Linked DNA regions of Drosophila melanogaster. The protein of the gene in region 1 interacts with the protein of each later gene in a pairwise test. Each region holds a gene or a part of one and is shown on either strand. Other genes may lie near its edges. The genes, in order: IntS1 and IntS12.

Region 1 (15,205 bases):
ATACAATATTTTAATTCTTAAAGCACAAACACATATAAATGTATCTACAATTTAAGAAAACTGATTGGCCTCCACCGATAGTTTTGCCATCGCTTTCCAAATAGCAGATTTCGATAGGTGAGAACGCAAGCGTGGGTTTGTCTCGCGTTTGGAATGAACGGAAAAACGACCTATCGCCTGGAGGGTTTTCATGTTCTTGAACAAATTTTTTGTATGACGTTAAATAAAACTAACGATTCAAGACTGTTTCTCATAGTTTGTTTTTAGTTTCTTCGAAATCTCATACCACCCTTAACGTATTGTACATCAATTGCCACATATACCCTCTAAATAATTGATTAATTGTAAAGAAAAACCTATCGACCGACTCAAGCAGATTCCATTTCCATTCCGTTTCACTTTGTCCCACGCCGCACCCTTGACTTAATAATTTAGTATGTGCCGTGCCGTAAAAATTTGTAATCAAAATATGGTTGTAAGACTGTTGCTTTAACGTCGGTAGTTTATTTTATATTTATGTAATTTTGGCCTGTGACACTGCAAGCCCGTGGTGTGATGCGAAAGTGTTCGATTTTTATATACTAGAGTACGTGTTTAGGTATGTTATTTATAAACTGCATTAATTTCGCACATCTTCCAGTGTCCGTTGAATGGTAAACATATTTTTCGCCATTGAATAATCAGAAATAAGCGGAAACTTATTGGCCAACAGCCGACGAAATCCCTCTGCTTATTTCCAAGGGCTTGTGAAAATGTGCTTCGCTATGCAGTTATATATGCACATTCCTGTGTATGCATGTGTGTGCTGCAGTGTGCGTTTCCTACACTCTAAAAAATGTTCTTTCCCTTGCAGAGCGAGAAAAATGTCAACCGAGAGTTTGAACAGTTTGAGCGACAAGGAACTGCACAGGAAGCTAATCCAGAGCGGCTTCCCCAGCACTCCGGTGACGGAAACAACGCGAGCGGTCCTCATCGAGAAGTTGAGAAAGCACACGCGAGCCGACAAGCTGAAAAAGAGGAGCAACAAGTACGTGCTGTACTCCAAGGAGCAGCAAGAGTCGCCCCCATTTCCACAGTACCACCAGTACCACGCCCCACAACCGCCCCAAAACTACGCCAATGGCCTTGATAACAATAACGACCTGGACCAGACCGGAGGCTCCTCAGCTTACAATCGCAGTCTCGATGAGAGCGACTCAAGCCCGCTTCAGTTGTCCGCCTCCAAAATGTACGCCCCACCACCGGTTGTGGCTTCCAATTACGATGGAGACTGCTCGCCGCACAGCTTGGGGTTAAATGGCAAATACCTGCAGCCATGCTCCATGCCGTACGCCATAGACACGTCGAATAACTATGGCAAACCGAGCGGAAAAGCTAAGTTATCTGACGGAGGCGTGGTAAATAGACTGCTCAGCTTTCGGGATACCACGATCCAGCGGAAGTTCAACTATCCCACTGGCCAGGCGTCGAGAATCCCGCTCAGGAAAGAAAGGCTAACTCGGTTCGCTTTGTCGGACCTTAAATCCTTCATCAGGAATCCCGACATCAGGCCCTATGTAATACCACGAGTGCTAATTTCGCTGTTCTTAATATTTTTGACAATAATCACTGTCCTCTATGTGGGCAAGAGGTTCGAGCAGAGCCCCATCGATAAGGCCGCACTGAAGTATACATTATGTAACCCCAACGATATGCAAATGATCAGCGAAAAGGTGAATTGCATCGAAAAAGATTCGCTAAGGGGTGCGCTGGACATGAGCGAGGAACTCTTTAGGCATCTGAACGAGCGAGCCAGGCTCCATCACTGCAAAGACGCCAATTTGTCGCCCGCTTTGGAAATAGGAGAGTTTGTGCGGGAAATGGTCAGCAACCCAAAGACTCACAGGGGAAATCTGCACAGCAACTTGATGGCTGCCAAATATTTGATTACCGAGAATCCGCAGTGGAGCATCCAAGTGGTGGATTCAACGAAGCACCTTGGACAGACCTCGCACTTCGAGCTTTCTGAACCCAATCTGCCGCTCAAGTGCATTGTGTTGAAGAAAGTTACCAGGTTTTTCACCGTTATCGGTGCACTTCTCTTAATAGTCGCTGGATTTCTCATCGTGTACGTCGCGGTAGTAATATACCGAGTTAAGCAGAAGGAAGCCCTGTTGGCGGTCGATCAGTTCCAAAAGGACATAATAAACGAGCTAATTTACTTGAGCTCCCAGTCCGAGAGTCCCGAGGTAGTTATTAACCAGCTGCAGGAGAAGTTTCTGCCGGCCAAGAAGCGCTCAAAGCTCTTGTCTTCTTGGAACAAGGCCCTCAAGCAGCTGGAGAAAAACGATAGCCGTGTGCTGTTCGGAATGGTGAATCGTGACGGGAAGGCAATGCGCACAATTGCGTGGAACAGGAACGTTGACAAAAAGGATGTGGGGCTTGTTAAGAAGTGGCAGAGTCCCGCCTTCGATAACTCGAACAAGATTGCCAACCCGCCGACTCCCTGCCTGAAGATTAGGCACATGTTCGACTCCTCAGAGGTGGATCAGGCCAATCTGAAGCAGTCCATCGTGGAGTCGATCATCGAGAAGGTCGGCACGCGCTGCAAGATCTGCGATGTCCAGCTGGACGTGCAGTCCTGCTGCGTGTACATCCGCTGCGCCAGCGAGGAGGACGCCGGCACGATTCACAAAGAGATCAACGGCTGGTGGTTCGACAAGCGCCTGATTTCGATTAAATTCTTAAGACTGGAACGCTACCTGAGCCGTTTCCCCAAGCCCTCGGCCGAGCCACTTTACTTTCACACCAACGAGGCAGCCAACACTCACTCATAAAACACACAACTCTACATTAGATACTTAAGTTATTAAATGCGAATTTGTTTTACATGTACAGCTGGAGTTGTCGTATTTAATCGATTTATTATGAACTAGACTTTAAAACTTAAAATCTGCTAAACACTACCACTACTTAGCTAGGGAGTTGGACGACAGAGCGCTTTCCCCAGTTTCCAAGTGTTTGATAAGCCGGTACAGGGTAGCAGCCTCCTTGATTTTGCTGAAACCCACGCAGAAGGCTTCGATTTCAATGAATAGTTCCTGGAAAATAACAATAGAATAGTCACTAAGCACAGTCGAGGAAATGGTAGTAGCGCATACCCTAACGTTCACAATCTTGTTCCTAATCAAGGACTGCAGAAATACGCAAACGAGTCGCACCAGGCGAGACTGCATGTACTTGTCCTTGACTGTTTCGCAAGTCGAGATGCAATTGCTGATGTATAGGTGAATAAACTCAGTGGGCAAAGGTCCGGAGGTGGTTAGTCTGGAATGAGAGCTCGAGCATGTTAAAGAAGCCTTCAATACTCGATGTTTGGATTCCTACCGGTTGACCACCTCCATGGAGTGAAGTGTTATGTCCATGTTGACCAACACGTTGAAGTATTCAGTTATGTCGGAGGTCGTCATCAGTCTTAGCAAGATCTCAATGGAGATGAGAGGATTGCTTTCCACGAGCAGAGGTAGCTGAGATGGAAGCAATGGATAAGACATATATCTAGCAATGTTTTCGGTTCTTACCTTGTCCGGGGTCAGTCCATATTGGCGCGCAATGTCCGTGTTCTGCTTCAGCAGGTCGTCGAAGAGGATGTGCTGGTTCTGGAGGCTGAGTGGCTGGAGAAAAGCCTGCTCGATGAGGTGCTTTATGTTGGGGGTAATGTAGTTGGACTTGTCGTAGATGATCTCCACCTTGTCGCTGTTCGACTGGTTTATCCAGAGCAGCTCGTCCTCGAAGTCCATTAGGGGCGGGGCGATGGACAGAAACATGCTGGTGCGCTGATTTTAATTTACAATTATTATTATTTTCCTTGCAATTTTGTAAACAATTTTAGTGTGACCGCGTTGAGGGGTTCTTAAGAACAATCTGCACATGAGAGTGGGCCATCTGAAAAATGATGTATGCAAATGTGCGCCTAAGGGTGTTAGGTTACACACTTGTCAAAAAATAAAAATTAAAATATGAAAACAGTTCAATATTTATATTAAAGCCTGTTTCAAAGCTTCCATCGTTCCGAATCAGAGCAGTTGCACAGACTTCTGCATGCGTTAGCCATTGAGCCCTAGCGCCTGCACTCTGGTCACACTGCAACTGTTGCACGGCTGCAAATCGCAAAGCAAAATAAAATGCACCGCGCTTGAATTATCCATTTTATGGACAGAAAAAACCTTCACACACGAACAGAGAAAAATGGATCGCGGGAAAGGAAGCGGCTCCAACCGATCGCAGAAGAAGGTTCCGCTGGGCGGAGAACTCTTTGCGCTCGGCAAGAGCGTACGCGATGACTCCAAGTCGAAGATCCTGCCCATTAAGGGCATGTCGTCGTCGGACCGCAAGCGTGAAGCCTCCACCGCACTGGCCAGCTCGAGCAAGCGGTTCCGCGGCAACCTGAAGGACGCGGGCGCCCCGGACATGTCCTCCGGTAGTAGTCAGTGCGAGACGTGGGAGCAATTCGCCGTTGACTGCGATCTGGATACCGTGGTCGAGACCATATACGCGGCTTTGGAGCAGAACGACAGCGAAACTGTGGGCCGGCTTGTATGCGGCGTTATAAAGCAGACAACGACGAGCTCCTCGCGCTCCAAGGTGGACAACATTGCCCTTCTGGCCCTGATCTACGTGGCCAAGGTACAGCCGAGTATATTCTGCACAGACATAGTGGCCTGCGCGCTGCTTTCCTTCCTGCGGCGGGAGGCCAACGTGAAAATGAGGTACAACACCAACCTGCACATTCTGTTCGCCAATCTGCTGACCCGGGGCTTCATGGAGATTTCCCAGTGGCCGGAGGTGCTGCTCCGCATTTACATAGACGATGCGGTTAACGAGCGCTACTGGGCGGACAATGAACTGTGTGCCCCGCTCGTGAAGAACATATGCGCAGCCTTTAAAACCCGCACGCCCCACATCAGTCTCCTCCGCTGGGATGTGAGCTCGTCCCTGCCTTCTGGTCAAGCACACAGAGACAGCATGACTGTGGACGACGATTCCGGGGACAATTCCACACAGAGCTTGGATGCAAGTCCCTTAAATACCGAATCGGAACCAATTCCCGACGCTATGTGCACCACTAAATCAAGATTCAGCGATGCTGTGGTGCAGAAGCATGTCAGCGATGCCATTCGCGATCAGCTCAACAAGCGACAGCAGCAGGATAACTACACCAGAAACTTCCTAAAGTTCCTGTGCACCACTTCTGGCATTGCAGAGGTACGATGTCTGAGCATTTCCCGCCTGGAGCTGTGGATCCACAACGGAAAACTGGTCAAGTTCGCCCAGCAATTGCTCTCGTACATCTGCTTCAACATCAAGGGACGCAACACACAGGACAACGAAGTGCTCTTGGTGCTGGTGAAGATGCGGCTCAAGACGAAGCCCCTAATAAACCACTACATGTCCTGCTTGAAGGAGATGATTTTTCTGCAGCCGGAAATCTTGAGTACCGTAATGAAACTGGTCGTGCAAAATGAGCTATCCAACACCAGGAATCCAAACAATATGGGGATGCTGGGTAAGAGAAACAAATTTTTTCTTAAATTAAAATCATAATTCTTAATTTGAAACTTTTCCAGCCACAATGTTTCAAACATCTGCTGATCAATCAGCTGCCACTCTGGCTGAGATTTACCAGGAATTCTTGCTTCAGCGGGACGATTGCCTGCGCACCCTGCGCGTTTTCTTACGGGAGCTTGTGCGGATGCTGCGCTTCGATGTGAACCTGGTCAAGTTTTGCAAGACGTTTCTCAGTGAGCGGGAGGATCTGACTCCTCAAATCGAAATGTTCGAGTTTAAGGAGCGAATTTTCAACTCCATGGTGGACATTGTGTGTCTCTGCATGTTTCTGTCGGCCACGCCACAAGCTAGGGAAGCCAGTTTGTCCCTGAAAACCAATCGGGACACCAAAAACAACCATGCTCTGCTCAAGCTGTACAATCAGATGTCACAGATTCAGTTGGACACAGTGTCCTGGATGTACGAAACAGTACCCACGCTCTTCAAGATTCCGGCTGCGGAGTACCACCAGGCGCTGCACAAGCTGCTACTGCTGGACAGTCCGGAGCAGTATTCGCGCTGCGATCAGTGGCCGTCAGAGCCGGAGCGAGGAGCAATCCTGCGGATTATCTCTGAGACGCCGATTCACGAGGAGACCCTGCTGCGAATTATATTGATTGGCATCACCAAGGATATTCCTTTCTCTATCGCAAACACCTTTGATGTCCTGCTGCTGGTCATAAAGCGAGTTTCCGGGATGAAGGCTACCAATATTCCGGCGGTGCAGGCCAACAAATTCGACATCATCGACTTCCTGTTCAGCATGTCAGAGTACCATCATCCGGAGAACATTCGCTTGCCTGCGGAGTACGAGCCACCAAAGCTGGCCATCATCGCCTTCTACTGGAAGGCGTGGCTCATATTGCTTATGATATCCGCACACAACCCCTCCTCGTTTGGAGCCTTCTGCTGGGACCACTATCCCACAATGAAGATGATGATGGAGATTTGTATAACGAATCAATTCAACAATTCATCAGCCACCAAGGATGAGTTGCAGGTGCGTGCTTAATTATATAAACAAACTGGCGGTGCTACAATAAAGATTTTTCAGATAATAACCATGGAACGGGATCACATTCTGCAGTTCGAGACGTACTTGGCTGCCCAAACATCGCCGCATGCTGTTATCACTGAGGAAACTGCGATTCTAATCACTCAGCTCATGCTGATGGACCCGATGGGCACTCCGCGCAAAGTGCCCTCCATGGTCCTAGATCAGCTAAAGTTCCTTAATCAGACCTACAAGCTTGGCCACTTATTCTGCCGCTGCCGCAAGCCGGACTTGCTGCTGGACATAATTCAAAGGCAGGGCACCACGCAATCCATGCCCTGGCTTTCCGACTTGGTTCAGAACAGCGAGGGCGATTTCAGCCATCTCCCAGTGCAATGCCTGTGCGAGTTTCTGCTGTTCAACGCGCACATCATCAACGAGGAGAATAGCCGCGATGCCGAGTTAGTCAATTTCCTGAGAAACCTGATATTTGACGGCAATCTTAGCCACCAAATCGTTTGCGAGCTTTTGGACTACATATTTAGACGCTTGTCGTCCACGGTGAAGCAATCGCGAGTCGCCGCTCTTTCGGGTCTGAAGATAATCTTCAGGCACTCTGGCGACTTTGAAAACGAATGGCTCCTGAAGTCGCTCCAGCAAATTCCGCACTTCTACGAGGTGAAACCCTTCATAATTCCCCAGCTGCGAGCTGCCTGCCAGGTGGAGAATTGCCCGGAACTGATTATGGCGTACATTCAGTTCATCACTGCGCACACGCTCAACGATCCGGTCAACGAAATGCTGGATCATGTCATCGATATGGCGCAGCTGATTGTAGAGCGCAGCACAATGTTTCAGCACATTATCATTTCGCAGGAGGACTACGACTATGTGCCCGACGAGAACCGCATTCAGACTCTGAAGTGTCTTTTCGTCATGTTCAACAACTATATAATTAAGCTAAGGGAATACCACGAACCGTACGAGTGGACCGAGTATCCGGACCTGCTGATGGTTCAGTTTGACGATGGAGTACAGCTACCGCTCCACATAAACATCATTCACGCCTTCATTATCCTGCTCACCTATTCCAACAGCAACATGCCCGAATCGATACCCATTTTGGACTATTGGTTTCCGCCCGGACGACCAGCGCCCGTCGCCTTTCTGCCCAGCATGCCGCAGGAGCAGGTGCAACTGCTGCCCGACTGGCTGAAGCTGAAGATGATCCGCTCATCGGTGGACAGACTAATTGAGGCAGCTCTCAACGATCTAACGCCGGATCAGATCGTGCTCTTTGTGCAAAACTTTGGCACGCCGGTCAACTCGATGTCCAAGCTGCTGGCAATGCTGGACACCGCTGTACTGGAGCAGTTTGATCTGGTGAAGAATGCCATTCTGAACAAGGCCTATCTGGCCCAGCTAATCGAGATTCAGCAGGCGCGGGGTGCTAAGAATGGGCACTACACCGTACAGGCCTTGGATCTGCATTCCCACTCGCAGACTGTGCCAGATCTGCCCAAGATCAGTGTGGTTATTCAGGAGGCCGTTGAAATTGATGATTACGATTCTTCAGACTCGGATGATAGACCCACTAACTTCCTGGCCACCAAGGAGGTAGCCCAAACCATTCTCACGCAGCCCGACCAGTTGACTGAGTCGCGAAGTGACTGCCGATCCTTGATTCAAAAACTGTTGGACATGCTAGCAAGCCCGAACAGCAATAGAGCGGATGTGGTTAACGCCATAACAGAGGTGCTAGCCGTGGGTTGCAGTGTCACGATGAGCCGTCACGCCTGCACATTTTTAAGGACTTTCTTCAGCTGCATGCTGCACAGCGACAAGTATCACATACTGGAGAACGCTCTCCAAAAGAACTTAAGTATGTTTAAGCACACATTCGCCGACTCCAGTCTGCTGCAGAAATCCGAACTCTATCATGAGAGCTTGGTGTTCATGCTGAGAAACTCTCGCGAGATTTATGCGCAGCAGTTTAAGGCGAATACCGCCTTGGTGGCACGAAAACGGATCGTCCGGGCGATCGTCCAAAGCTTCGATCAGACCAAGGACAGCAAGACCGTCGCCAAGTCCAAGAGCGACCAGCTCTTCCACAACGGGCTCTTCATCGACTGGCTGTCCGAAATGGATCCCGAGATAGTTTCCACTCAGCTAATGAAGGAGCGCTTTCTGTTCTCAAAGTCCTGCAGCGAGTTTAGGTTCTATCTGTTGTCCCTGATCAACCACCAAACCAACTGGGACACGATCGAAAGGATTGCCGAGTACCTGTTCAAGAATTTCCATGAAGACTACGACTACGCCACCGTCCTCAACTACTTCGAGGCACTGACCACCAATCCGAAGCTGTGGAAGGGACGCGACAAGTACATGTCGAAGAACGTACGGCCGGATGCCTTCTTCATGCTGAGGACTTCTGAACTGGAGCCGTTCTCCCACTTCATCCTTCACGAAGGGCTTTCCGAGGTCAAGCTGGACAGCAAAAACTATGATTTCAAGCTCTGCTCGCGAATGAACCTACTGTTTAAGCTCACAGAGAAGCGACGAGACCTCATGGTCAAGGTAATGGAGCACGTGGAGAAAAGTTCGGTGTCCGACTACTTGAAACTGCAGGTCCTCCAGCAGATGTACATCATGTATCCGCGCATCAAGTTTCTGAAACCGGGCAAAACCGGCGAGCAGGCGTACAAATTGCAGAATCTGAAGGGCTGCCAGGCGGACAAGGTGTCCAACAATCTGATCACCTGCTTGGGCAGTCTGGTGGGCAAAAAGGACTTTGAAACCCTGTCCACGGACACCGAGCTGCTCCTTCGCAAGCTGGCTGCCTCCCACCCGCTTCTCTTCCTTCGCCAGCTGGGCGTGCTGTCGTCCATTATGCAAGGTCGGGCCCAGCTCAGCATGAAGGCCCTGCGCGAGGAGCACCACTTCCACCGATTTGTACAGATCCTGAGGACGCTGGAGCTGCTGCAACCAACCATCTTTGAGGAGGCGTACAAGAACGAGATCCAAAACACGCTGTCGTGCTACTTCAACTTCTTCAAGCACCACAGCAACGTAAAAGAGGCCTGCCAAATGCTGAACAAGTTTGTGCAGATGCTCCAAGCCTACATCAACTACAATCCCTCAAGTGCTCTGCTCTTCATCGAACAGTACGTGGGCATCCTGAAGGAACTTGCAGCCAAGTACACCTCACTAGGCAAACTGCAGGTTTTGGTCCAGGCCGTTGCCCTGCTGCAGCACAAGTCGCACTCGGCGACGGAATTGGACGACGAGGAAGTTAAGTACGAGTACGATCTGGATGAGCATTTCGATGTAAAGCCATCGGCCAGCAAGCCCGTGGTAACAGAGGATCCCATCGAAGTGAATCCGCAAACACCCATCGATCCAAGCAGCAGTAGGGGTCCCTTATCGGTTCTAACCTTGGGCTCGTACAGCCGGTCGAACTACACGGACATATCGCCGCACTTCCTCGATCTGGTCAAGATCATAAAGCAGTCCAACACGGAGGACGTGGTCTTGGGTCCCATGCAGGAGCTGGAGTGCCTCACTTCCAAGAGATTTGTGTTCATCAACGAGCTGTTCGAACGACTGCTCAACCTTATATTCTCGCCGAGTGCCCAGATCCGGTCCATCGCCTTCATCATACTGATCAGGCATCTGAAGCACAATCCCGGCAATTCGGACATCAACCTGTGCACCCTTAACGCCTACATTCAGTGCCTGCGGGACGAGAACTCCTCGGTGGCAGCGACGGCCATTGACAATCTGCCGGAGATGTCGGTGCTGCTGCAGGAACACGCAATCGACATCCTAACGGTGGCCTTCTCGCTGGGCTTGAAGTCGTGCCTGAACACTGGCCACCAGATTAGAAAGGTTCTCCAGACTCTAGTGATCCAGCATGGCTATTAAGCGTTCGGTCTATAAGTTAGAACCGTCATCATATGTACAATGTAATCTTTGCTCCTTATAATAAAGTGTATTCTGCGGTACGAGATTTTTACCACAGCGGAAACGCGACTTGGTCAAGTTAAATATTTCATTCTTTATTTCTACTGAAAATACAAATTATGTAGAAAATTCTCATACAAATTGGCGATCTCAACAGGATACGTGTTTCCATCGCTGTTTCATGCATGCCTTGTTTGTTAAATGCAATGCACAGTGCTCGTACAGTTTATTGGCGGTCGGTGGCCCGGAGTTTCTCCTCGACGGCTTCCCGGGAGGCTTCGGAAAGATCAGTGGCTTGTATATACTTTTGGACGCCCACGAGCGACTTCTTGAGAGCATCGAAGGAGCTGGAGTACAACATCTTCTTCTTGACCTGTGGGTGTGTGATATCGAAATGAGTTCTGCGCCATTACTTGGCAACTGGCTATTCACATACCTTGGCAGTATCGGGACACCACGACATAAGGAACAGCTTTTGCTTCTTTGAACTCTCAGAGGTGCCTTGACACTGGTGCATGTACTCGAAATCGAACAGTCCGTACCTGTGCAAGCGAATAGATGTTAAATTAGGTTAGTTTCGATGGGTCTGGGTGTCTCTAACCGGCGGAACTTACCGGCACTCTCCAGGTCCGCATTTCTGGATATCTTCTAGAAACTGGTCGTACTCGGCGTTGCGATCTGCCACAGTCTCCACATCAATCTGCTTTTCATCGCGAATGTAAAAGATGACATAGCGATGCTTTTTGTCCTTCTTTATTTCCTCGTATGTAGTCTTGCAGACATCAGACACAGTTACACCAGAAGCCTTTAGAGAGAGAGAAGGTAGAGATGCAAATCAGAGAATGTATTTTGAATGTTCAATGCGCGCCAAACTGTCAACCAAGTGTGTGTGCATGTATGTGATACAGGGTGCTCTCTTTGCGTTTCCCCAAGTATTCCCTTAAAACAAATGTTCATGAAGTACCAAGTAGTTGAATTGTAAAAAAAAATAAGTGAAGTTCAATGTTTTATGCCCACATAAGACACGAGGCACCCTGTACCTCACTGATGTACATATGTGCGTATGTAACTGACTGGCAGACATAACTGCCCACCTTCAGCTGACAGTATATCCGTCCCTTTTCGACTTTGCAATTTTATTTCTTTGATTGCCGGCAATAACAAACATAAAGGTAAATAATTTATGCTACTTTATTTGCATTGCCACCGCAGAACTTTTACCGGTTAAGGCGTGCGCACACTTGGCACGCCGATTTATCTGGGAGTGGTGGGCGTGGCACCATTTACAGTTAGATTTTCCTTTCTTTTTTTCCCGGCGCTCGGAAAGTTCAAGGGTAAGTTCACAAGTGCCGGCAAGTTTAAGGGTGAGAACAAGCCGACAAGAGGGAGAAAGAAAACTAAAAGGGAGGTGGCTGTTTCCCCACGATTTCGTTGCGCTCACAAAACGGTGGAAAATGCCCGATTTTCCATAATATTCGGAAAATGTCGAGAAAATCAAAATCGTCCCACATGCAAACAGTCGTCTGCTGCACACACACAGCTAAACATCATGTGTATGTATGTATGAACATCCGCAAGGCGGCAAGGAAACGATCACACCTTAAATATGTATGCCTGCAGATACATATATGGATATATATTGATACATATTTCTGTATGGTAATATGGACGTACATATGTACACACATTTTGCGTCTGCGAGAAAATAAGCATTAAGCATTGCCCCGCAGATACATACATACGCACATATTTATAGCCATCGAAATATAAAAAAAGCGGTATACCCACACACGCTCAAGTGTGTAAAAATATATATATGTATAGACATGAAAATCCAATGTGTGTGCATTTCTCTTTCCAACATTTCAATTTTTAATCGCTCCATTTTTCCAGCTGCCACTTTGGAGCATTCTTTCGCGATTGCCTTTCGCGAATTTGCCAGTTATGAGTGTGAGTGGCGGCTGAGAAGTATGAAACACTCCAATAAATGAGTAATATCCGCTGCTACCAATGACTAATTTGGTATATATGTATACGCACACATTCATGACCATGTATATGCCCGAATATGGCCAACGAACATATAGGCAAAAAAAAGTGGAAATATATGTATGATTGATATATACACACTTATCTAAATATGTATGTATATACAGATTTCAAAGGAGAGATGCTTATATGATTCATCGAATCGAAGACATTATTTGCACTCCACCTCGCTTCCAAAAGTGCACAATGACCGGCCGCTTTTACCACCGAGTCTGAATGCGAGTCCCAAGTGTACGTACCATTTTTCCTGTAGTTTTTCGCTTTCACAATTCTCAAATTGCTGCTTCGCCGAGTATATATTTTACAAATACTGTTTAACCTTCCGCCTTCTTTCACGAACAACCGGACGAATCAATTTGGTCGGTTATTTCGCACAGGTTAGGGTTGCCAGGCGCCGGCAAAGTATCAACATGCGTCGTGACGCGTCGCGACGTTTGTGAAGCGTTTGGAACGGTGAAATGGCACACTTTCGATCTTTCAAAATGTCAAATATTTTAGGGTGCTTTAAAATACATAGTATAGTTTGAGTTAATTTATTTATTTATATTAACAAATTGCACTATACTTTCGTGTAATAAAGCTGAAGATTTACAGATTTGAATCTTAACACATTCGCTGTTTTGGAACATAGAATATATATACATAGTTTACACTTATAGCTACAATTTATTACTTCAATATCAATTCATCCCAAAGCTAATGATATTCTTTGTTGTATAGTATTGATCTTAGTATTTATTAATTAGTACAACGATTGCGATGAAATTTGTATTTAACAGTTAATATAATATGTTAAAAGCGATATTATTAACGATAAATATATTTTGACTAACAAGCAGACCGAACATTAAGAAATTTAGCACAAGCCACCTTCGTCCTCGGCGTCGTTGGTTTCCTGCGAGAGAGAAAGAGAGAAAATACGAAATTCTTGTTAGCTATTTAGTTTACTGCTTCGCACTGTCCCAAGTCTTCTATCGACAACAAAGGCAGATTCAATCGCCTATCGATAACATCATAATAAGAGCCAAATTTACAAAACAAAAATTGCAAATTCCATTTTTAGAATAAAAATACTCACAGCAGCAGTGTCGCCAGCCTTCTTCTCCATCTGTATACCCTGAGGTAGTGGAATGTTTTTAGATAGAATAGCGTACTCAACATCCATATGTCGTATGAATGGGGATGCCAGCATCCTAGCAGCTAACTCGGGATCCTCGTCATCGAAGGCTTGCAGAAGGGTCTGCAGTGTGGACACTTCCTCTGGCTCGCAGCAGTTTCCCCACTCCCTGAAGGTCTTTTCGGCTTCCACGGAATCCCCGCGAGCCAGTTGGACCATCACCAAGGCCACAACTAGGCGTCCAATTTGTCCGTAAGATTCCGTTTGCTGATTCAAGCTGATCTCCTTTTTGAGCGCATTCGTGGCTTCGTCGTACCTGGAGTGATTGGATGATATAAGCTAAGGATACCCAAAGTGATTCGTTGCAATCATAGGTACATACCTCCTTAGTTTGACCAGTATCCTGGAAACTTTTGATGCATACTCGGCTGCTTGACGGACGGAATCCTCGATCTGTCGGGTAAGTATAAAATTAATAGTTTAAGAATGGAATTGACTAGAGCAGTGTCAAATAGGACGAACCATTATGACTTCTAGAGCATGCTGATAGAAGCGCAAAGCCATGTCAGGATGCTTGGATTCAGTTAACTTGGCGGCTTTATCCAAGGCGGATGCGGCTGCCTCTGGGGAACCGTGCTGTTGATACAAACTCGCCGATTTGTTGGCGTATTCCTCAACTTCGTGTAGCTTATCGGCATCCTTTGACAGCAAAATGATCTAGAAGATGTGCACATTTAGAGGGTTTAAATTTCCTATTAACTTCACTTATATTAACTTCAATTTAAGCTCACCTGTTCGTATGCCTTTGCAGCATGGAACCAAGACTTGTTGTTTTTATAGGCGTCGATTGCCTTCAGAAAACACTCCTTGCTCTTATCATAACTTTTAGCTATTCGATATGCAGTGGCTGCAATTAAAAATGTAAAAGAAAGATACATAATTGTACACCAATATGTGTGTATCTTGCAAGTTATGGATACTTTGGGATAATCGTTAGCTGTAATTCATAGTATTTACATATCTCATTGATGTCACAATGTTTTTATAGATAGATACTCTGGGTGATATTAGTCACTCCTACTTTGTGAAACTCACCAGCTTTGGAATACTCATCCGCAGCACTATCGTAATCAGGAACCCATTTCAGCATGGACAACTTCAAGCTGCAAATAAAGATGGGTGTTATTTGGAAACCCCTTTATAAGGATATTTTTGTTGGGGATACCTCTTCTCGGCCTGCTTCACCAGGTCCTCCGCTTCGGCAATCTTTTTGGCAGCGATTCCCGACATTTTCAACCACTTTTGTTTAGCAGGAAAAATCAATTGTTTACGTTTGAAAATAGTGTGACCGAATGCGAGAAGGAAAATAACAATGGTTCGAAAATCACGGTGGTTTCGAATCTTTGAAAACCGAAAGCAGTACGCATGTCTGAAAATTTCAGAAAAGCAAAGCCTGATTACACCGGGAAAAAAAAGTTGGTCTTATAAAGCAGTTG
Region 2 (3,600 bases), on another chromosome or scaffold:
AGCGCGGCTCCGTACTCCCAATGCCAAGATCAATTTCAGCCCGTCTATTTCGCTGCGTGGACGTCCCGGTGGCAAAACCGTGATCAACGATGACCTCACTCCACAGCCGCGTTCCAAGAAGACCTATGAGTTTAACTTCGAGCTCGACGTTAGCATGGATGCCAACGTAATTGTGAATGTCAAACGCAAAAAGAAAGCGGACCAGGATAAGGCGACGGCGGTTGATTCACGTACACCCTCATCCCGCAGCGCGTTGGCGTCCAGTTCGAAGGAGGAGGCCTCACCTGTGACCCGAGTTAACCTGCGCAAGGTAAACGGCCATGGCGACTCCTCCACGCCCGGCCGTAGTCCGCGGACACCAGCCGTCACTGTGCGGAAATACCAGGGATAGGAGCCTTTGTTTTCTGTATTTTTACATTTGTAACCTCATTAATAAAAACTTGAAATATTTTCTTACTTTTACCTACATTTACTGAATTCGATAGCACGTACATATCTTTAAAAATCATTTATTGAAAATGAATTATTGAATTATTATTATGAATGAACGTTCAGAATTTTATGCGGATTGTAACTTTATACTTAATTATTAGAGATGCTAAATTACTGCTTGGATCTGCGCTTGCTGCTGCTGCCGCTTTCGTGATGCTTGGAGGAACTGCTCTTGGAGCTGGATTTGGTGCTGGAGCCGCTGCGTCGCGATGAGGTGCCACTGCTGTTGTGCTTCTCCATTCCGCCGATGGCGCTAAGAGAAGACGCCGCCGTGGACTTAGAGGATCGTTCTTCCTTGTGCGATTTGGACGACGACGAAGAGGAGGACTTGTGGCCATGCTTGCTGCTGCTACTGCTGCTGGCATTCGTGGAACTGCTGGGCTCGGGCCGGTAGAAGGGTGACGAGGAGTTGGAAGAGTTCGATGAGCGCGACGACGCGACCGACGATTTGGCTTTGCTGGTCAACGGCATGGGTTCGTCGGCTATGAAGACAGTTGGCGTTACGGCCGCTGCAGAGGATGTTGTCCTCCCGCTGCTCGTTGGCTTGTTGCAGCACGTGTCGCACTGCCAGTTCTGCTCCTGGTCATCGGCCGCCTCCTCCTTGGTTATGGGCGGCTTGTGGCACTCCTGATGGTACATGGCACCGCACTTGGAGCACTCAATCAGCCGATTGGTGGCCGTGAAAACCATCTCGCCGCACACGCAGCAATTGAGGTCGCCAAAGTCGCCGGTGTCACCGGTGTTAACTATTCCCACGGCGCTTAGACCGTCATCCGAATCCGCAATCGTGTCCACCGAATCGGAGGGCTCCTTGTCCGGTGAGTTGGTCAAATTGATGATCTCGTCCGCATTGATGGGCTGCTGCGGGGGCGTGGCAGCACGTCCGGAAAAGTTCGCTTCATCCTCCAGCATCCGTGGCGTCATGTTGTTGGTCAAACTTTTCTCCGGACCAAAACGCGCCTTCAAAGCCTCGTCCAAAAGCAGACGCAGTTCGGCCGCCGAGGTGGGATTACTCGAGTGCAGCAACTTGATGGCCTTCTTCAGCACGGGATCCACTTCTTGGGCAGCTGCAGCAGCGGCGGCTATATTTGCGGCCATCTTAATACCGGGTAGATATAGTAAATAACAATATAAATGCAAGTTTATGCCCGCGCAACAGCTGTTTGTTTGGTTTCAGCCATTCACTTGGCAACGTGCATAGGTTTTAGGCGGGAAAATTAAATTTTAAGTTATTAGCCATAATACGATGAAAATAAAGTTATGGATCATTTCATGTAATCTGAATATAGCCTTGTTAACAACAATGTTAGTATGTAAGTAACACTACACACGTTGGTTGTATTGGATTCTCAAACATAATGTATATTCAAAAGCCCAACAGCTGTTTGACCAGTGCTACCACACTGCTACGCAGCTCGACTTCTTCTGAGCGCTGCCACTCGCTTGTAAACGTAAAGTAACATTGGTAAGAGCGGGTGTTGTTTTTTGGCCAGGTAATTTAGCCGCATCCGAAAAAGGTATATTCAAGCTAAAAATAGTTATTTCGCCACTATTTGTGTTCGTTGTTATGCCTATCGTGCAACTGCGTCGCCGGCATTTCCTTATTTGTTCTGCTGCGCAAAGAAGAAGAATTGCTGCGAACGGCCGTTGAAAAATCGAAGCAGAGAGCCAATTGGAAAAGCAATAACAACTTGGCTCTCTCGCAAAACAAACAGTTAGCTTGTGATAAGGGAAATTAAATTACTTTGTGTGCGAAAAAAGAGCGCTAATCTTAGGTGGAATTACCAATAAAACAGTAAAAGAAACAAACTGCAAACGCTTTCCAGCGCTTTGACTCATTTAGTGCCAATATTTCAGAGCCTGCAGGTGACAAAATGCGTTGCAGTTTGCAAAAGGACTGCGCAGCTCCCACGCAGGAAAATTTTCGTCAGGTAAGATGATACATGCTGAATACATTTAAACTGAACTAAAAACTATTCATTGCATTTACTGACATTCCAGCAGATGCGTTTCCCAATTGTGATTTCCCTGCTTTTGCTGCTTTTCTGCAGCGGTGAGAGTGTCGCCGCTGACGCAGCCAATCAGCTGGTAAGTGGGCGGTTAGTGGGCGTGGGTCGTTTATTTTGGGGGTGTTTGTTTGTTTTCACTGCGCACTTGTTGCCTTTTGGTCGAGACCCCGTTTAAGGCCCCCCAATTGCATGTTTTTCGCTCGCTTATCACTTCCAGTCTTTGTTGGCCGACATTTCGAATGGCTAAGAAATCAATAGGCTGAATAATGAAGCGATAATAGTCATAAAAAATGTCTTGTTTTCTTTGAAATAGGAAAATATGTAACTGTAATATGTTTACTTTTTCTTTAGAAATTTTCCACCACGGAATGTAAACTCAAGGAGCCCATTTACGGCAGCACCTTCGACTTCAGTGGTCTCCACTCGGATTTGGCCCATGTGGTGAAGAGCATGAACATTGGAGGCGACCAATTCGAGTTCAATATATGCGGAAATCTTTCAAGAACCTGCAATGGGGAAAGTAATGTGGCAGCTTGTCTCAAAAGACAGGGAAAGGAGTATATTTTGGGTAAGTTAACGATCACATTATCTGTATCTCACACGCTAAGATACCTTTACTGTTCAGGTCGTCAGCACGAGTTGTTCTACAACAATGGAAATATGTTTCTGAAGTACAAAAGCGGCGCAAAATGCGACAATGGCACTGCCGACAAGCCCAACTACCAGCTGCATGTAATGTTCTCCTGCGACTATACTTTGGATGCCCAGCCTATGCACGTAACGCCTTACGTAAGTATTTGAATTGTATTCCTTAAATATTTCGAAGATTCTATCATTCTGAATAACATACTATTGTACTTCATCTAGGCCAACGAAGTGTGTTCTTTTTACATCTCATATAGGACGCCTTTGGCATGCCTATCCATTCCCGAGGGTCTACAATCCAATAGTTGCAGAGTGGGCGACACAAAGTCAAATGGAACCTTCGATCTGATGCCGCTGAGTGATAGTAACTATCATACGAGCAATCGTCAAGGCGCCTTCTTTGTGATCAATGTCTGTAAGCCGGTGCTTTATGGAGAGAACAGCATGTGTCCGG

The links.
Region 2: the proteins of IntS1 (region 1) and IntS12 interact in a two-hybrid assay, tested with the Drosophila melanogaster proteins (one study listed by BioGRID).

The regions. Positions count from the first base shown.
Region 1 is NT_033778.4:24,033,835-24,049,039, forward strand, and holds IntS1 (integrator 1), read left to right. Parts: upstream 1-4,108; 5' UTR 4,109-4,227; coding exon 4,228-5,545; intron 5,546-5,606; coding exon 5,607-6,586; intron 6,587-6,640; coding exon 6,641-10,504; 3' UTR 10,505-10,624; downstream 10,625-15,205. Other genes in the region: MAN1, read left to right, coding at 864-2,816; Not11 (CCR4-NOT transcription complex subunit 11), read right to left, coding at 2,949-3,306, 3,367-3,506, 3,561-3,806; tsr (twinstar), read right to left, coding at 10,770-10,916, 10,980-11,085, 11,158-11,348, 12,832-12,834; gammaSnap1 (gamma soluble NSF attachment protein 1), read right to left, coding at 13,449-13,487, 13,671-14,025, 14,092-14,162, 14,232-14,426, 14,501-14,616, 14,805-14,872, 14,935-14,999. UniProt on the Drosophila melanogaster protein: Component of the integrator complex, a multiprotein complex that terminates RNA polymerase II (Pol II) transcription in the promoter-proximal region of genes.
Region 2 is NT_033777.3:26,861,460-26,865,059, reverse strand, and holds IntS12 (integrator 12), read right to left. Parts: upstream 1,685-3,600; 5' UTR 1,591-1,684; coding exon 604-1,590; 3' UTR 501-603; downstream 1-500. Other genes in the region: ball (ballchen), read left to right, coding at 1-391; Lerp (lysosomal enzyme receptor protein), read left to right, coding at 2,367-2,423, 2,494-2,580, 2,853-3,069, 3,127-3,290, 3,369-3,600. UniProt on the Drosophila melanogaster protein: Component of the integrator complex, a multiprotein complex that terminates RNA polymerase II (Pol II) transcription in the promoter-proximal region of genes.